2 linked regions of the Macaca fascicularis genome follow. The protein of the gene in region 2 interacts with the protein of the main gene of each other region in a biochemical or structural test. Links are inferred from orthologs where the notes say so. Each region holds a gene or a part of one and is shown on either strand. Other genes may lie near its edges.

Region 1 (10,303 bases), about 75 Mb from region 2:
AGGTGAGACCCACAAAGAATCATGACTCCTATGCTGCTTTATACCTGGGCAAGAAATCAGAGGAAGTGTTTTCGGCTAATTTCACCAAAACCTTAAGGCACTGGGTCAGGACACTGGCTTGAAGGTGACCTGTTGCTGCAGAAGAGAAAGCCAACAGGTGAAGAAGCATCTTCAACAGTGGGTGCTGTCCTTGGTCATCAGCAACCCCCCTTGGGGCTGAGGTCATATCTCCATCACTAAACCTGTGAACCAGGCTCCCATTTCCTTCCCCAGCAGCAGAATCTGCCCCAACTCGTGACAGTAATAGGGAGACCACTGCTCCGCTGTGGCACACCAGGTGCTGAAGAATGCTAAGTGCAGTCACAGAGAAGCCTTCCAGGATGCACACTGAGTCCTCAGGGTTGGTCTCTACCCCAGAGCTCACGCGGGAGGAATGTGTCGGTGAGTCCCCAGGTGCTCCACTTCTCTTAGCAGCTGCCAAGTCCTGCAGGGCCTGGCAGTGTAAGCCGATGAAGAACTGTACAAGGGGGAGGAAATGCACGGCTCCAGGAAGCTGGCAGAGTGGGAAGGCCCTTCTGCCTCCCTCTGCTGGGTCTCCATCACGTGAGCACTCATTCCTGGCAACCAGATTCAGTCCAGTGAATGCCAGGTTCTGTGCTTCTCTCAGGGCTGAGAGGGAAAATGACCCATCCTGAGAACCTGTGGTCCTGAGGCCTGACATTCCAGCCAAGGTACTGGCAACAAACACAAAGAAAAATAGGTAAGTGTGGGATGGAGATAAGGTCAAGGGCCCCAAACAGCTTGCCTGCCAAATTCTCCAGGCTCCCTGCCCTTCCCACAGACTTCCCAGGCTGGCTAGGACCAGAAAGGAATTTGCTTCCAGGAAGCTCCTTCCCAAACAAGCTTTCCAGGAGTCTTATGCTTACCTGCCAAACCCTGGTGGCTGCAGGGGGGTGCCAGCAGGAGACTCAGAACTACTACTCAGGAGGTGGCACAGGCTTAGGGATGACCCTGGGATCAAAGGCTGCTTCAGGAGCAGGTTTATCAAAATGGAACCTGTGAAGACAAGGTGACTCTAGAAGGTTCTGACATGGGAGATCTTTTCTGTGGCCTCAGAAGGAAACAGTAAGGACTCTTTGGATGCCAACTGTCCTCTAAGTTGCCACTAAGCCCCAGGTAGATGCCTGTGGGTGCGGAAGGCTCTGGGACATACCTGCCTTTGGCCCTTTCCACTTTATAAAGTCTTCTGCTTAAGCCACATACTTTGACTTCCCTGGACTCCCTGAAGGACTGCCCAGGGCGCCGGTTCTCAGAGGCCTGGGCAATTCTTCTGCATATCACTCAGAGCCATGCAGGCCCCTGCAGAAGCAGGGATTCTGGTACCTTGAGTGTTTGATCTCTGTCTCCAGCTGTCAACAAAGCTTTTCTGGGCCTCTTCTTGTTTTATGGAGTCACCTCTCAGACTGTGGGTCTTACTATCTGAAATGTGATAAAATGTAAATCAAAACTTGAGCACAAAAGCATGGGCATATTAGAAACTTTTACATGCAATGAGTTTAAAACACAGGCTGTTCTACTTCTTCCACCTTGGATCAAACAAGAGCCAAAGCAGCTCAAAAGCCCTGCATTTTTTACCTTTCTTATGTAAAACAGGAACTCATACAAGGAAAGGAAAAGAAAATCAAGCTGTTTGCCTCACTCAAAATGAGGCAATTAGATAAAACAGTAACCACTAACATTGACATGGTGCTTGTTATGTGCTAGACACTGTTCTAAGAGCTTTACACACATCAGCCCATTTGTTCCTCAGTGACCCTACAAGTAGTTATCATTAGCTCTGTTTTACATATAGGGAAACTGAGGCACAGAGACTAAAGGACTTGCCCAAATTACATAAGCCAGTAAGTAGCATTACTGGGACTCACATCCAGGCTATTGGGCTCTACTGCCTGCTTGTAACACTACTGTACACTGCCACTTTAGCTGCTAGATTCCAAAAATGTAAGTGGGCTGCAGTTTCTCAGAAGTGTGTAATGGCCAAGGATTTGAAAGGTTGATGGTAAAAAGAGGGTCAATGTATCTGATTTATAAGATACATTGACATAGCAGTCTGAAAACCTACTGATGTTAGATTGTCTCTCTCAAAAAAACAGCAGCATCCCCTCAACCTGGACTGAGTTATAAAAACTCAAAAGCTGGACTACAAAAGGAAAACAGAGGCTGGGCACGGTGGCTCATGCCTGTAATCCCAGCACTTTGGGAGGCTGAGGTAGGTGGATCATGAGGTCATGAAATTGAGACCATCCACGCCAACATGGTGAAACCCATCTCTACTAAAAATACAGAAATTAGCTGGGCATGGTGGTGTGCACCTAGTCCCAGCTACTCGGGAGGCTGAGGCAGAAGAATCACTTGAACCTGGGAGGCAGAGGTTGCAGTGAGCCGAGATCACGTCACTGCACTCCAGCCTGGTGACAGAGTGAGACTCCACCTCAAAGAAAAAAAAAAAAAAGAAAAGAAAAACAGGTTCCTGCATACTACTGATGGTTTAAAAATATACCCACAACCATGATGGCAGGTGCCTGTAATCCCAGCTACTCGGGAGGCTGAGGCTGGAGAATCACTTGAACCCGGGAGGCAGAAGTTGCAGTGAGTCGAGATCGTGCCATTGCACTCCAGCCTGGGTGGGTGACAGAGTGAGACTCCGTCTCCAAAAAAACAAACAAACAAAAAAAGCCCACAAATGCTTTGACACACCTCCCTTCAAAGGGTATAGCTTGATTTCCCCTCCTTGAGTGAAGCCCAGACTCAGTGATTTGCTTCTAACAAACAGAATGTGGCACAGGTGACGCTGTGTGACTTCTGAGGCTAGGCCACAAAAGGACAGCTTCTGCCTGGCTCTCTCTCTCTCTGGATTTGCTGGCTTTAGAGGAAGCCACCCACCAGGTTATAAGGATACCCCGTATCCATGTGCAGAGGCCCATGCGGCAAGGAATTACACTGCCAGTCATGTGAGTGAGCCATCTTGAAATAGATCCTCCAGCTTAAGACAAGCTTTCAGTGATTCCAGTCCCTGCAGAGATTGTCCCCACTGTGCCCTGTCAGAATTGCTGATCACAGAAATTGGGAGAAAATAAATAACAATTGTTTTAAGCCACAAATTTGGGTAGTTTGTTAAAAAGCAATAGATGACTTATGGACTTACCCTCTCTGCCCACCAGCGGCTTGTATCCTGACTCTGTCTGGCAGGGGTGGGGAAGGGACATGTTAGCACTAAAAGACTCCTTTGTAGGAAAAGATGTTTTTCCAAATTGTGGAGAACATGCTTCTGGCTTTATAACCACAGAAGGGTTTTTCCTAGGACTGGAAAAAGTTAACTATGAAAGCAAAGTAATGATTCTACTAAAACAATTCAAAATACCTGGTTACAAAATTTCTAACAAACTTTAAACTTTTCATGTCTAGGTGTTTTAACCAAAGGTTTTATCTATTATGTCTACCATTCTTTGTCAGGGGAGCAGTGCAAAATTCCAGGCATTTGGTTTTCTTTTTTAAAAATATTTTTAAATTTTAATTTCTCTATAGAGATGGGGTTTCGCTAAGTTACCCACGCTGGTCTGGAACTCCTGAGCTTGAGTGATCCACCCACTTTGTTCTCCCAAAGTGCTGGGATTACGGGCATGATCCACCGTTACTGGCCAATTCCAGGCATTTTGATCCAAATCGTTGAAAAAGTTTTTTACTCATTTTTATATTTTTCTAATCATCCAAAAATATAATATTAGCCAAAATTCTTTTACTATTCTTTATTATCACTATTTCCAATTCCACCAAAACTTTTTTTTTTTTTTGCGACAGAGTCTTGCTCCGTTGCCCAGGCTGGAGTACTGTAGCATGATCATAGCTCACTGCAGCCTTGACCTCCTAGGCTCAAGCGATCCATCCACCTGTAATCCCAGCCTCCTGAGTAGCTGGGATTACAGGCACACACCAACATGACCAGATAATTTTTTTTTTTTTTTTTTGGTGAGACAGTGTCTCACTCTGTTGCCCATGCTGGAGCCCAGTGGCACAATTATGGCTCACTGTGGCCTCGACCTCTTGGGCTCAGTGATCCTCCCACCTCATCCTTCTGAGTAGCACAGGGACTACAGGTATGCAACCACCACATCTGGCTAACTTTTTATTCTTTCTAGAGATAGAGTTATTTCTAGAGATTGGGTTTCACCATGTTGCCTAGGCTAGTCTTGAACTCATGGGCTCAAATGATCAGCCCACCTCAGCTTCCTAAAATGCTGGGATTACAGGCGTGAGCCACCAGGGCCGGTAATTTTATTTTATTGTTTTTTTAGTAGCAGTGGGGTTTTGCTATGTTGCCCAGGCTGGTCTCGAACTCCTAGCCTTAAGCAATCTTCCTGCCTTAGCCTCCTGTGTAGCTGGGATTGCCTGTGTAGCTACCATGCCTGGTGCAAAACATCTTTTCAATGTGGAACAAACTGTTTTTTTTTTTTTTCTGGGACAGAGTCTCGTTCTGTTGCCCAGGCTGGAGTACAGTGGTGTGATCTTGGCTCACTGCAACTTCTGCCTCCAGGTTCAAGTGATTCTCCTGCCTCAGCCTCCCAGGTAGCTGGGATTACAGGCGCATGCCACCATGCCCAGCTAATTTTTATATTTTCAGTAGAGACAGGGTTTCACCATGTTGGCCAGGTTGGTCTCGAACTCCTGACCTCAAGTGATCTGCCCGCCTCAGCCTCCCAAAGTGTTGGGATTACAGGTGTGAGTCACTGTTCCCAGCCAATGTGGAACAAACGATTTTTTAATAGTCACAAGACTTCCAGGCTGGGTGTGGTGGCTCACACCTGTAATCCCAGTAATTTGGGAGGCTGAGGCGGATGGATCACCTGATGTCACATGGTGATATCCCGTCTCTACTTAAAAAAAAATACAAAAAATGCCGGGCGCGGTGGCTCACGCCTGTAATCCCAGCACTTTGGGAGGCCGAGGCGGGCGGATCACAAGGTCAGGAGATCGAGACCACGGTGAAACCCCGTTTCTACTAAAAATACAAAAAATTAGCCAGGCGCGGTGGCGGGCGCCTGTAGTCCCAGCTACTCAGGAGGCTGAGGCAGGAGAATGGCGTGAACCCGGGAGGCGGAGCTTGCAGTGAGCCGAGATTGCACCACTGCACTCCAGCCTGGGCGACAGAGCGAGACTCTGTCTCAAAAAAAAAAAAAAAACAAAAAAAAAAACAAAAAAAACCCAAAAAAACTAGCCTGGCGTGGTGGTGTGTGCCTGTAATCCCAGCTACTTGGGAGGCTGAGACAGGAGAATCACTTGAACCTGGGAAGTGGAGGTTGCAGTGAGCTGAGATCATGCCACTGCACTCCAACTTGGGCAACAGAGCGAGACTCTGTTTCAAAAAAAAAACTTCCAATAGAATGCAAAGACTTTAAATAGAAAAAGAGTTATCAAAATAAGTATCAAAATTTTGATAAACCTATTAAGTATGTTGAAAACTGAGCAACTTCTCAGTGCTAATGTCTTTATGTTAGAGAAGCAGTGTTAACCCTCTGATCTGATCATATAATGCTGAGGTCTTTCTGTTACTGATGTGTGAAGAGGATCCCCTCAGCTCTCTTATGTGGACAATGCAAGGCATGGAGAGTTCAGTTTCACACACTGCCCATTATGAGCAAAGGCAGCAGAATGTTCAAAACCAGAAGATGCCCTGACACTTTTCAAATCTCAAGGCTGGGCCAGGCACAGTGGCTCATGCTTGTAATCCCAGTAGTTTGAGAGGCCCAGGCTGGCAGATCATTTGAGTCCAGGAGTTCGAGACCAGCCTGGCCATGATGAAACCCCATCTCTAAAAATACAAAAAGTAGCCAGGTGTGGTGGTGCATGCCTGTAATCCCAGCTACTCGGGAGGCTGAGGCAGGAGAATCACTTGAATTTGGAAGGTGGAGACTGCAGTGAGCCGAGATCACACCATTGCACCCCCGCCTAACAGAGTGAGACTCCATCTCAAAACAACAACCACAACAACAAAAAACCACAGCAAATTTCAAGGCTGATACTGACAGTGCCAGACATCTCTGTAAGGCAGAGGGCAGGACAGATCATTAACAAGTTGAGGCCAGGCACGGCGGCTCATGTCTGTAACTCAGCACTTTAGGAGGCCGAAGTGGGAGGATTGCTTGAGCCCAGGAGTTCAAGATTAGCTTGAGCAACATAGTGAGACCCCGCCTCTGTATAAAAACAAAACAAGGCCGGGCTCAGTGGCTCACGCCTGTAATCCCAGCACCTTGGGAGGCCGAGGAGGGTGGATCACGAGGTCAGGAGTTTGAGATGAGCCTGGCCAACATAGTGAAACCTCATCTCTACTAAAAATACAAAAATTAGCTGGGCGTGGTGGTGTGTGCCTGTAGTCCCAGCTACTCAGGCTGAGGGAGAATTTTTTGAACCCAAGAGGTGGAGGTTGCAGTGAGCTTGAGATTGTACCACTGTACTCCAGCCTGGGTGACAAAGTGAGACTCTGTCTCAAAAAAAAAGAAAAACAAAAAAGTTGAGCACATCTGACCACAAAGAATGGGGCTGTTGGACAAGGGTCCCCAGACAGCAAATAAGAAAAAATATTCCAAGTAGCTGGAACTAAAATACACTCATGCTTGCAACAAAATCAGTTAAACAAATTACATAAAAGTAAAGACTGGCCCACCCCCAAAATTTGGAGATCATTTCTCCAGGTCTTTCTTTCTTTTTTTTTTTTTTTTCTGAGACAGAGTCTCGCTCTGTCACCCAGGCTGGAGTGCAGTGGCGTGATCTCAGCTCACTGCAAGCTCTGCCTCCCAGGTTCATGCCATTCTCCTGCATCAGTCTCCTGAGTAGCTGGGACTACAGGCACCCGCCACCATGCCCGGCTAATCATTTTGTATTTTTAGTAGAGACAGGGTTTCACCGTGGTCTCAATCTCCTGACCTTGTGATCCGCCCACCTTGGCCTCCCAAAGTGCTGGGATTACAGGTGTGAGCCACCACACCCGGTCCGTTTTTCCAGGTCTTTCTGGTCCAGAGGAATTATGTTTGTAAAGTGCCATATAGTGGCAGCATTTCTAGAGTATGGGCCTTTATGCTGTGATGTCTCAAACCACGCAAGCTTCATCTACACCACCTCTGAATCCTTCAGGAAAAGAGGATCTCTGTCCAGGTGGCAGGGTCTAAATGACCTTCATTTAGGACTGGCCTGACATTGTTATGCAGATTGTTTACTAAATAATGCAAAACTGAACTATCCCTCCTCCAGCACCATCATTACCTGACATGGGAAACAGAGGGAGCAGCCAGTTTATTTGCGCGTTCACTGGTCTGGAGCTTTGTCCTTAATTCATTCATCTCTGCATCTTTAAACTGGAGTTCAGACTGCAATGATTGGAGCTGGAAGGCAAAAGAAACATGCTTGTAGTGGCCCCATCATATACACAAAAATATCTCTGGGCTTCAAAATCACAAGCCAGTAAAAGACAAACAATGAAAAAATACATATGAAAGTCTGCTGTGACATAAACGTCCTAAAATATCAAACATTAGCTTTCTTTCTGAAAGACAATATGGTGCGCTAAAAAGATAATGGACTCTAACTATTATAAGGGTAGTTTGTGAGGGTTCAAATACCAGCCCTGGCTGGGTGTGGTGGCTCAGGCCTGTAATCCTAAGCACTTTGGGAGGTTGAGGCAGGAGGATCATTTGAGTCTAGGAGTTCGAGACCAGCCTGGGCAAAATAGCAAGACATTGCCTCTACAAAAAATTTAAAAAATAGACCGGGCGCAGTGGCTCAAGCCTGTAATCCCAGCACTTTGGGAGGCCGAGATGGGCGGATCACAAGGTCAGGAGATCGAGACCATCCTGGCTAACCCGGTGAAACACCGTCTCCACTAAAAAATACAAAAAACTAGCCGGGCGAGGTGGCGGGCGCCTGTAGTCCCAGCTACTTGGGAGGCTGAGGCAGGAGAATGGCGTGAACCCAGGAGGCGGAGCTTGCAGTGAGCTGAGATCCAGTCACTGCACTCTAGTTTGGGCGATAGAGCGAGACTCCGTCTCAAAAAAAAAAAAAAAAAAAATTAAAAAAATTAAAAAAAGAATTAAATACCAGCCCACCATTTACTAAATGTCTTTGAACTCTAGCTTATTTGAAACATAAAATGCCTGTCTTCATCATCGTTGGGAGGATTAAGCAGAATGATGAGTGTAAAACACTCAGCACAGAGCTTGGTAAGGGGCTCTATGTCAGCAGTAACATACTGACCTTTATTAACCAATGCAATGGTGCACAATTCCAGGTCTTCTTCAAAGTTTGGGAAGAGTATTTGGAATAGTTTACCAAGACACTGTGCAGTATAGAGACACCTGCTGCTCTGGCCTGTAGGTGCCACACCCAACAGTAACTGCCATCATTCCCCAAGCACACTCTGTGCCAGGCCCAGCACCAGACACAGTAAGTGCAAGAACGTGTGAGTCTCCCAACAACCTTTCTGGTTATGTTTTGGAACAGATAAGGGAAATGAGCCATGGAGCTTAAGTTATTACCTTGAGATCACCGCTAAAGTGTGATGAAGCCTGGATTCAAATTCAGGTTTGTCTGACTGCAAATTCCTTGCTCTTCATCACTTATACAGAAAGTTAACTATTGCGGTTAGTGTTGGGCACAGGTAAGTGCTTAAAGTTTGCTAAGTTTGCTGAATGAAACAATGAGAGAATAAGATCCCATGTCCTGATTGAAGCATGGGGAAGTGCTGAGGGAAAGTTGTGGTAAGTACTGGATACCTACTGTTTTTCTTTCCAGAATAGCATTTTCCTCTCCCTGAGAAACAGGCTGGGCATGGTCGCTCTTGCCTGTAATCTCAGCACTTTGGGAGGCCAAGGTGGGAGGACTGTGTGAGCCCAGGATTTTGAGAACAGCTTGGGGAACATAGCAAGACCCCGTCTGTACCAAAATTTAAAAATTAGCTGTGCCTGGTGGTGTGTGCCTGTAGTTCCAGCTACCTGGGAGGCTGATGGGGGAGGACTGCTTGAGTCTGAGAGGTCAAGGCTGCAGCAAGCTGTGATTGCACCACTGCACTCTAGCCTGGGCAACAGAGTGAAACCCTGGACCTTGTCTCAAAAAAAAGAAAAAGAAAAAAGAAAAAAAAGTCAGTAATTTCCCTACCTCTGACTATTTTATTAGAATGAGAGCTATCATTTTTTTGCTTTTGGTTACAGCAATTGGCCAGGGACAGACACTTAAGTTAGACCAATCAGAGCCTTTCTCAGAATTTTAAAACTTGCAATGAGGAAGCCTAAGTCTTTTTTTGAGACAGGGTCTCGCTCTGTTGCCCAGGCTAGAGGATAATGGCATGATCGTGGCTTACTGCAGCCTCAACCTCCTGGGCTCAAGCAATTCTCCCACCTCAGCCTCCTGAGTAGCTGGGACTACAGGTGCACACCACCATGCCTGGATGATTTTGTTAATTTTTTCTTTTTTTTTTTTTTTTGTAGAGATGAGGTCTCACCAGTTGCCCAGGCTGGTCTCGAACTTCTGGCTCAAGTGATCCTCTCACCTCAGCCTCCAAAGTGCGGGATTACAGGTGTGGGCCACTGCACGTGGCCTTAAGTCTTAATTCTGCTCTGTATTTACAAAATATGAGCCCAGGAGCTTTTGGAGAACACACCCTCTACCATAATGATAGAGCCTTTTTATAGCATAGAGAATAAAAATGTCCTGGCAAGATTTAAGTCATTTAAGGCCCCAGCACACCCCTGTTCTTCCAAGACTTGGATATGGAAGCCAATACATTTCCTTTTAGCCTAAGCTAGGTCAGTTGAGTTTCTGATCTAGCAAAAGAGCCCTAATGTAAGCCTGTTTCTAGAAATGCTAAGCTAGTTATTCATTCCCGCCAAATAGAGTTTCACCTAAATCCCTTCCCAAAACATATCCAGACACTGGAAGAAGAGTGCTTGGCAATTAGATGAGAGCAGAAAGTATTTAAGATAAACAAATGTTGAAATCTCCCTGGAAGATTTACAGGCAACCCTGGTCAAAGGAACTCAGTGGGCAGGAAAAGCTGGTGCAAAACAAATGCTCTGGGTCACCTTTTTGGAGAATTCCTTTTCTTTGTCACTGAGTGCTTGGGTTTTCTCTTGCTCAAGAAGAAAATGTGATCTTCTCTGTTCCTCTAGAACGGATTCCGTCTGATGTAGTGAGTCTCGCAAAATTTTAATTTCTCCATTCTTAATGAGAACTTCTTCTTCCATTACTTTCATCTGTAAAT
Region 2 (10,303 bases):
TGTCGTTCTCTACTGAAGCTGAAATAGAACCCAACAATTTCACTTCTAGGTATATACCACATAGTAATACACACACATAGACTCCAAGAGACACGCACAAGAATGCTCACAGTGAAATTATTTTGTAAGGGCAAAAAACCAGTAACCAACTAAATGCCCATCAACAGTACACTGGAAATGTAAATTCGGTATATCCATACAAAGGAATAAATAAATGAACTATATTTGCATGTAGCAAAACAGACACATCTAAATAAGGGTTAAAGAACAATTTTAAAAAAGCAGACTCAAAAAAATACATACTCTGATACCATATATTTAAAAGTCAAAAGCAAGCATAACAAAACAATAGGGTTAGAAGTCAGGAGTATACTTTAGGGAGGAAGCAGTGATGGAGCCACAAGGAAGTGTTTACAGTGCTGACCATGGTCTCTATCTGAACGTGTATAGTGGCTTCCCAATGATTAACCCTGATAATTCATTAGCAGTATACTTACTGGACTGCTCTGATGTATATTAATTAAAAATTAACTTTAAATAAGAGGTGAATTTTTTGGTGGGGAGGGAAGGTGAGGCCTAAGAGATGGTCAATTTTGTGATTATTCCATAGGCCCTTTCATGTTTTGAGTAAATAATTCAATATACCATATTATATCAGTTTGAAGAACCACTGATTATAAGATGAAGCATTATTTATGTGCCATCAAAAAAGAAAGAAAAAGGAGAAAAAACACTGCTCAATATTATGACTCTAAACAATAAAATCTTTAAATGTGTTTTTTGTACTCACGCTATTCAGAACTATCAGCTTTCCACTGCAAAACTTTTATTGCAAAGTATCTACATAAGAATGGTCTCGATGACTGAAAATATTTCTACTGTTTTCTTGCCTACTAATATTATTACATTTGCTCTTCGGAGAGTCTGTGAGTTATGAGACTTCAGAGATCATCTGGATTTTACAGATGAGAATAATGAAGCCGAAAGAGGTTGACTTGCTTTTAAAAGGCAGTAGGGGACAAAGAAGAGACTTGATCCTACACCTCACAGTTCCCAAGACTGATTTTCCTTTATTTCTTAAAGGATATGGACCTGAGTATTAATCACAGTACAAAATGTTACCTCAGAAGAGATTTCATGTGAAAACTTAGAATTTTGAGTTTAATAGTAAAGACTTTTTTTTTCATGTGGGTCACTGGAATTCTCACCAAAAATAAAGACATAAATTAGCTTGGGGAAAATTGTCCTGGATATCAGTTAATATTTATTTTCTGAATATGAATAATCTGTAAACTTTTTAGTAAGTCTGCTCCAAAACACACTAATAAAAATTATTAAAATATTGCTTCTAAATACCCTACAAGCAAAAATATCAACAGACAAATGAGTAAAATAATTCTGCAAAGGTTTGTAGATAAAGAAATCATAGACAACGGTTTGAACAGCCACTTAAGACGTCAAAAGCTACTAAAGAAATAGTGATGAAAATCAGCTTTGGAAAATAAAAGAAAATCATATGGAAGATTTTATTAGCCCCTGATTTGCAAACAAATTTTTCAGAAAGGGAGCCATACTATACTGCTCAGGAGATCAAACTAAAACACAGACTTAACTCATGTCTTTACAGGAAACAATTCAAGTAAGGTGATACACACACATTTTCAGAAGGCAAATCGTGGCTGTACTCTGAGAACCAACATATAAAGTAGCAGTGTGTTTACATTTTATAGTTTATAAAGTGATTTCATCATTTGATGTTTATAATCTATGAATTTTCAGAGCAAATATTATCTTCTTTGTATGAAGAAACAAACTGAAGCTCAGGTATGTTAAATGATCGGCCTAGTCATACAGTTCAAGATTGATCTAGTACTTGAACCCAGATGTCCTAATTTCATACCATATTTATCTATAGCTCTTACCTTAACCCTAAATGTATTTTGGGACTCAAAACATTCAAACGCAATAACAAAAATCTACTTGCCAATGTCTCTGGAAAATTTACTACTACACTTTAGAGGTGATGCTGAATTTGGTGCTTTAACTTTATAAACGGTAAAACTGTTAACTCTGGGACCATTGCCTATAAAGCTTACCTTCACATCAAAGGAAGGCTTGAAGAGTTTGTCCTTGGACAGGAATTTTGATGGTGTATCCAGGTGTAGTGAGGGCTCCTTCTGAAGTGGTTGTCCTACTGCTGGGGAGGCTGAAACCTGTCTGGCATGTTGTGAGACCACAGCACGGAAAGCTTTACTCTGAAAGCGATTCATATCTAAAGGTGTAATGACGGTTTTTCTGTGAGTTTGCAGGCGTGTGCCAGGATGCTCTGCAGTATCTGAATTTAGATTGATTCCATTTGTTATTTCTGTTTCCAAACTTCGTTCTAGAGATTTAAAATGAAAAGAAACAAATATGAGCCACTAATGCCCACTTTTTTCCAGTACACAAGAAGTAATGTTTTACATCTGTTTTATTTCCTTTCTTTCTTGCATAACTCTTGGGCTCAAGTGATCCATCTACCTTGTCATCCCAATCTAACTGTTAGTTTTCATGTCAATTCTTAGTACACTTTAAATGACAAAATTATATACCCACTTTCCAAGAAACAAACCAGATTATGCATTAAATATATGTTGAGTTAGACAAGCACATTAACTGAAAAACTAAAAATAGATTTCCTGTTTCATCTTGCTATGTCTCAATAAGCCTATTTGCCAAAAATTGTATCAGTGAATGTCTTTCTAGTCAATGACAGGCTACAAAGAAAATCTGAATTACTCAGAGTTAACTACAGTAAAGTTTTGGAAAGCCCTTAATCAAATTTTAATACGACCTAAACATCACTTAGCCTCAGTCATAAAATTACCAGTCTGTCTGGCAAAATAAGTAATGACTCTGAGAGGTGTTCCCAAGCTGCTGATATGCCCCTGAAGTTTGCCCAGGAATGCTATTATCTTACAAGAGAGGGTACTGTATTCTTCCACCTCTGCCTTCCACCTGTTTTCAACATTTAACAAAAAAACTTATTAGATAGCTACTCCATGCCAGGCCTAGTGTTAGACACGGGAAATACAGAATTCACAAGACATGCATGTTCACTGCCTTTCTGGAACTTATAATTTAGCAGGGAGACACAAAATAAACCACCATTATAACACCGAGGTAAGAGATAAAAGGGATGATACAGAGTGTCATGGTGAAACAAAACATTACACCAAGACAAAAGGCCATACTTAGTGAGTCAAGAAAGGCTTCCCAAGACAGTGTGGCGATTCCTCAAGGATCTAGAACTAGAAATACCATTTGACTCAGTGATCCCATTACTGGGTATATAACCAAAGGATTATAAATCATGCTACTATAAAGACACATGTACACGTATGTTTATTGTGGCACTATTCACAATAGCAAAGACTTGGAACCAACCCAAATGTCCATCAATGATAGATTGGATTTGGATTAAGAAAATGTGGCACATATACACCATGGAATACTATGCAGCCATATAAAAGGACGAATTCATGTCCTTTGTAGGGACATGGATGAAGCTGGAAACCATCATTCTGAGCAAACTATCACAAGACAGAAAATCAAACACCGCGTGTTCACACTCATAGGTGGGAATTGAACAATGAGAACACTTGGACACAGGGCGGGGAACGTCACACACCGGGGCCTGTTGTGGGGTACGGGGGTGGGGGAGAGATAGCATTAGGAGAAATACCTAATGTAAATGACGAATTAATGGGTGCAGCAAACCACCATGGCACATGTATATATGTAACAAACCCGCATGTTGTGCAAAAGCACCCTAGAACTTAAAGTATAATAATAATTAAAAAAAAAAAAGAAAAAAAAAAGAAAGGCTTCCCAGTGAAAGTGGTATCTTAGCTGAGAACTGAAAGATAAGAAGGAAGAGCTGGCAACTGTGAGGTGGTCTACAGGAAACATGCAGAAGCCCAAAGATAAGAGGAGAGAGAGCACATTAATTACATGGTATGTTACTGTGAGCCATCGAAGGAATCAACAATAAATAGGAGCCAGGCTTACATCTTTAGACTTCAAACACTGAGACCCTCACTGCACCCAATGTGAAAAGCGAAAATCAATGACCTTTTCTAAACACAAGCATTGGCACGTTTATATCCCAGAAACCATCCAGTTGTAAATATATATAAAATAACAGAATAAAAGTATTAACCTTCTTCAGACGAATTTTCAATCAGAAAATGGCTTTCGTCTGCTCTCTTTCCCGTTCTAGCAGTCTCCAACAGCCAAGCTATAGTAACTGCAGGTAAATTCCACTTCTTTGCAGCTTCATATTTAGAGCCACCAGGTTCCTTCAATATAAGATGAGTACTGGCAAACATGCCTTTCTTTGCATTGGATTTGCGAACAAAGTATTCTTGAACACTGAAATTTATATTTAAAGAAGTGGAAATGGTCACATATACAATTCACCCGCAACACTTAAGAACAACATTTCCAACACAACAGTGTGATTAGAGATCATGTAAGTATAAAAAAAATACTGATTAAAAGTTGGTTTATTCTATCTGAAATTAAGCTAATCCCCTTACAAATGCTTACTCTAGGGTAAAAATGTATTGCTGTAACAAATTTTTTATAAAAACATAATTAGACGTATTATGTTTTCAGACAATTAGACAATTATGCATAATTAGACATACAAAGAACCGACAGCAAAATTACTTCCTTTTGAGACAGGGTCTTGTCTTGGTATGTTGTCCAGACTGGAGTGCAGTGGCACAATCACAGCTCACTGCAACCTCCACTTCCCAGGCTCAAGCTATCCTCCCACCTCAGCCTCCCCAGTAGCTAGGACTACAGGTGTAGTTCCTAACCACCACATCTGGCTAATTTTTGTATTTTTTGTAGAGATGGGGTTTCACCATGTTGCCTAGCCTGGTCTCAAACTCCTGAGCTCAAGTGATCCTCCTGCTTCAGCCTCCTAAAGTTGGGATTACAGGCGTGAACCACCTCACACAGCCAAAATTACCTCCTAAATTAGTTATCACCCCCACACTTTGTCCTTTCCCCCCAAAAGAAGGCAAGGAAGAAGTGACAGGAGCAAAGTGTATAAATAACACATTATTATTATTTTTTAACCTACTACAACTTTCCAAAGCATTTCTACATATTATCTCATTTGATCCTCTCAATATTTAAGTATCGATATGGGAAAAAATAGAGAGAAATTAAATGCCTCAAGATCACAGGATATTACACACAGAGAATACAGGGCAGAAAAAGAAGTCTATGACTTGGGAGTGAACCGAATTCCATGATTTCTTTTATGACTTCTGGGTTTTACGTTCCAGTTCCCAACTTTTCAGATTTTTTAATTTCCCATGTTTCCTGACACTTTTTTTCTATGTTATGTGTTTATCCTAGTACTTTTATAACTTCATTTTTTATATTTAACCCACTAATCCATTCAGTACTTATTTAGATATGAGATATTGCTCCAGCTTTAATGAATCCTATTTATTGAATAAGCCATGTCTTCCTTAATAATTTGAAATGTCACTTTTATCGTAAATTCCTTTGTGTATTTGAGTCTCCTGCCACTCTTGCTGTCCCTGAATTAAACTTTCTGCTACACGCAACTACACTGTTATTTAGTGAAGTTTCACAAAATATATGTTTGTTTGTTTTCTGAGACAGGGTCTTGCTCTGTCCTCCAGGCTAGAGTACAGTGGCGCCATTGTGACTCACTGCAGTCTTGACCTCCCAAGCTCAAACAATACTCCCACCTCAGCCTCCCAAATAACTGAGACTACAGATTTATGCTACACTGCCTGGCTCATTTTAAAAATTTTTTTTAAAGACAGAGTCTTAGTATATTGCCCAGGCTGGTCTTGAACTTGGCCTCCTGCCACAGCCTCTCAAAGTGCTAGGATTACAGGCATGAGCCACCACACCTGGCCACAAAATGTATTTTAATAACTGTTAGGGCTAGTCCCAATTATTCTATTTCAGAATTTGCATGACTTTCCTGCTGAATGCAGCTTTAGTTGCATCCAGTGGAGTCTGTTGTCATGTATGTTATTATCTTCCACAATTTCGGTTTTAAAAGAATTTTTTTGTTTCATATAATTCAAACAGAAAACAGCAAAAAAGGAAATATACAGCTCAATGAATTATTATAAGGTGAAACCCTTAAGTCCACCACCCATGTCAGAAGACAGAATCTCGCTAACCACCCCAGAACCTCTCCAACATGCCATACAACCTCCGTTGCCTCCCTTCTTAATAGTAGCCACTATTTGGGCTTTTTTTTTTTGGAGACGGGGTTTCATTTTGTTGCCCTGGCTGAAGTATAGTTGTGTGATCATAGCTCACTGCAGCCCTGGTCTCCTGGGCTCAAGCAATCCTCCTGCCTTAGCCTCCCGAGTAGTTGGGACCATAAGCACATGCCACCATGCCTGGCTCATTTTTTTAAAATTATTTTTTAAATAGAGATGAGGTCTCACTATGTTGTCCAGGCTGGTCTTAAACTCCTGAGCTCAAGCAATCTTTTGGCCTCCCAAAGTGCTGGGATTACAGGTATGAGCCACTGTGCTCAGTCTATTTGGACACTTACAGTAATCACTTCTTTACTTTTCTATAATCAAATAATGGCATCTTTAAAGACTATATTTAGGCTTTTGCTTTTTCATGTCTTTTAGCTTATAGGTTCCTACCTTCTTTTCCATGCCCTTAATATACATTCGTTGAAGACACTGGATCATTTATGCCATAGAGTTGTACCAAAGTCTGGGTCTTGCTGATTATATCATTGTGGTGTAGTTTAACGTGTTATTCTGCTGTTTGCATTTCCTATAAATTGGGAATTGGATCTAGAAGCATCATCAGATTGAGGTTTGATTATTTTGGCAAGACTACTTCAAAGTGGTGGTGTATTCTTCATAAGAAGGCACATCATATCTTGTCCCTTTATTGTGTGATTAACTATTGATGTTCAATGCCTAGATTCTTTCATTCATTAGGGGTTACAATCTTATCATTCTTTGTTTGTTTGTTTGTTGAAACATCTTTAAAAATGGAAACTTTGCCATATCCACTATCATGTTACCCTGATGCAAACTGCACAGGAAATGCAGGTTAAATTACTTGATCCTTTCCTTTTGTCAGCTTTCAAAGTAATAGACTGGTCCCCTAGCATCTTTCAAAGATCATCAATTACCTTAGTTTATTTGGTGTCATTATGAAGTCACGACTTAAACACTATTTCATGTATTTGGATCCACTGCAGTTATTATCTCTTATGATACCTAAGTCTTCATCTTTGGACAATGGAGGTACTTTTTTTTTTAAGGCTAGTCAAGTGAAGCAGTGGGAGGGGAGAAGGAACTATATAACATTCATAAATATAATAAAGACACCCAACCAAATTCTAATTTGAATGCTCTCCAAGAAGTCAAAATAAATAAAAAGATACACCAACACAACAGGTGCATTAAAAAGATCACATACCTTGCTCCAAGGAGGTTTGCTAGGAATGTTAAAGACTCTTTTTCTGCTCCAGCACACTGGCTAAATGAAATAACACAATCCTCTAAAGGAGTCATTCCTGTCATTACTGGGACTGGTGTGAAGAGAGGATTCGACTTTGGATCAAACAAAGTCTGAAAGTCTATGCAAGTAACCTTTTAAAAACAAGAGAAACAGTAAAGCCAACCTGAAATAAGCAGCCAGTGGTTAACACTCATTCAGGCACATGAGCAATAATTCAGTTTTGATAAGAAGTTTTACTTTAATACAAACCTGTGTATGCTCATTCTCAATACATTTCATATCATAACGTTAAAATATACATATACATACACACATATGCATACATCGACTGATTACATTAGGCTATTACAATCAGTAAGATCTATCATTGGAGTTATTGAATGTTGCTTTACATTTCATTCCTTCCAATGTATTACACTATTTTTCTCATAATTCTTGGAACGTTAAAAAAAAAAAATCAACAGTGAAATTACCCGTGATGCTTCGGTTGTAAGAAAACAGGACAAACAGTATGAGATGACCCTATAGTGACCTCCTAAGAAGGAATGTTGCTGCTGTGGCCTCTGGGAAAGAGTAACCTCTACCGTATTAGGATTAGGCCCAAGAAACTTGCACATTTAACTTTAGAATTTCCCTTGCTAAAAGTAAAATCAAGAGTGTTCAAATCCAAACACCGATTTACTGTAACTGAACTGCCTAAGAAACAAACATTAACCTTCTTGGCACTCAGATAATCTTCAATACTTTATTGCAACCACTACAGTGTTGTCTTACCAGCCACGTGTTTGTAACAACTTCTCCCACAGTGGCTTCTACTTCACACCCCAGCAGAGGAACCACAGCATAATCGGCAACAGTTCTGCTCAGAAGGGACATGATTTTCCCAGCATTTTCTTTGATGATGCTTGCAATGTTAGATTCATTTTCATTACTAAAACCCAAAACAAGGAAACTCTTTTGGCTAAATAAGCCTTCTTCAGTAATTGTAGAAACATCAGGGACGCAATGACTGACAGAAGACTGGTTTTCTTCTTGCAAAGAAACGTGAGTAGAATCATTCAAGGGCTCAGCACGGGTAGAATTATTAAAGGGCCTAACTTCAGACTTCTCGGCTTCAGACGTCTTAGCCTCCACTGAAAGAGAAAAGTACATGTTTTCTAACCAACAATTTACCCTATAAAGTTCATTTCTAGCAAGGATTTTAATGTAACATGGAATCTGAGAATTTTGACCATACTTATAAAACTAAAGCTTACGTGTATAATAAAGGGATATGGATTCACTCCGTCTTCGGGGTTACCAAGAGTCCATTAGGAAGGACAAGAGCAATCATGTTAGTCCTAGGTATGCCTAGTATAATAGACACTTGAATTCGTTTAAAATTATATAGCTCCTACAGGACTGTCTTAGTTCCGAAACTGGTTTAGATGATTCACCACAAAACTAACAAAATACCATTAAGAAAAAAATCAACAAGTCTAAATGGTGTAACTGTCAAGCCCTTAACATGGAACATGTTAATATGGAAATGACTATAAGGAAGTGGCTGGCAAATCCTAAAATATTTATTGTCTACTCCTTTAGAGAAAAAGTTTACCCTGCCACGTGATTCCAACAAGGCTGGAAGCTATTCAAGAATCACTCTATCATTTATATAAGCACTGTGACTAACTGCTTTACATGCATGTAATGCTCACATAATGCTAACTGTGAGGCTGATACTATCAGCACATCCCTTCTGTCCAAAAGGAGTCTCAGGCTTGAAAAGGTTATGTAACTTGCCTAAGGTCACACAGTTAAGTGGCAGAAATGAGATACGAACCAAAGTCTGTCTGACTCCAGAGTTCATAACACCAGGTTATAGTGCCATCTTCGTACTTCTATCCTCATCTCCAAGAGACACTAGCATTTTCATTTTTAAGTAAATTGTAATATATATTAGGAACTTGTAAATTAAGTACATTGCAATATATATTAGGAACTTATGACTCCTACTAAACATAAGTATTAAAATTCTTCTTATTCACACTGAGGAAGCATAGTTTTGTCTACAGAGTTTACTGATCAGTAAGTCAGGAGAGATGGGTTCTAGTTTTATAGCCTCTTTGACCCTTGGTTTCATAATACAAGGAATAAAAGACAATAGTATACTTACAATTTATAGATATACTCATGAGAATGAATATGCTTAGATGGAATTAAAGGTGACGCAATACTATAAAACATTCCGGAAAGTTCTTTTAACGGTTTTGTTAAAATGCAAACAGTTTGTTTTATAAGTGAAACCCTTTTTATTTTTTGCAAGTACAATTATTTTGCAGTCACATCTAGGGGAAAAAAAAACTTTGTTCGATGTCTACATGTTGTTGGTAAGATGGGAAGGAGGAAGAAATTCCGTAGAATTTTAGACTACTACTATAAAAACAAAGTAGAAATACTAAGTTCTTAATAAACCATCAGTAAAACTCTGAAGTTAAGAGACTCATAACAAACTAACATGTTTTACAGCAGTTCTTTCCATTTATTTTAGCAGTAGGATCTCTTTTCAAACAGATCGCATCCAAAAGCCTAAGAGATACTACGTAACAAACCTATTATTCAAAAAGCTCCCCTAGGGCCGGGCGCGGTGGCTCAGGCCTGTAATCCGAGCACTTCAGGAGGCCGAGGCAGAAGGATCACAAGGTCAGGAGTTTGAGACCAGCCTGGCAAACATGGTGAAACCCCATCTCTACTAAAAATACAAAAATCAGCTGAGCATGGT

The links. The genes of interacting proteins can lie anywhere in the genome.
Region 1: the proteins of TOPBP1 (region 2) and ATRIP form a complex in vitro, tested with the Homo sapiens proteins (2 studies listed by BioGRID). The link is inferred for Macaca fascicularis from reciprocal best matches to the Homo sapiens genes TOPBP1 and ATRIP.

Annotation. Positions count from the first base shown.
Region 1 is NC_088376.1:111,417,812-111,428,114, reverse strand, and holds part of ATRIP (ATR-interacting protein), read right to left. Parts: intron 10,296-10,303; coding exon 10,125-10,295; intron 7,434-10,124; coding exon 7,315-7,433; intron 3,364-7,314; coding exon 3,206-3,363; intron 1,480-3,205; coding exon 1,384-1,479; intron 1,057-1,383; coding exon 927-1,056; intron 735-926; coding exon 45-734; intron 1-44. UniProt on the Homo sapiens protein: Required for checkpoint signaling after DNA damage. Required for ATR expression, possibly by stabilizing the protein.
Region 2 is NC_088376.1:36,562,020-36,572,322, forward strand, and holds part of TOPBP1 (DNA topoisomerase 2-binding protein 1), read right to left. Parts: intron 8,676-10,303; coding exon 8,317-8,675; intron 7,674-8,316; coding exon 7,501-7,673; intron 4,414-7,500; coding exon 4,202-4,413; intron 2,384-4,201; coding exon 2,097-2,383; intron 1-2,096. UniProt on the Homo sapiens protein: Scaffold protein that acts as a key protein-protein adapter in DNA replication and DNA repair. Composed of multiple BRCT domains, which specifically recognize and bind phosphorylated proteins, bringing proteins together into functional combinations.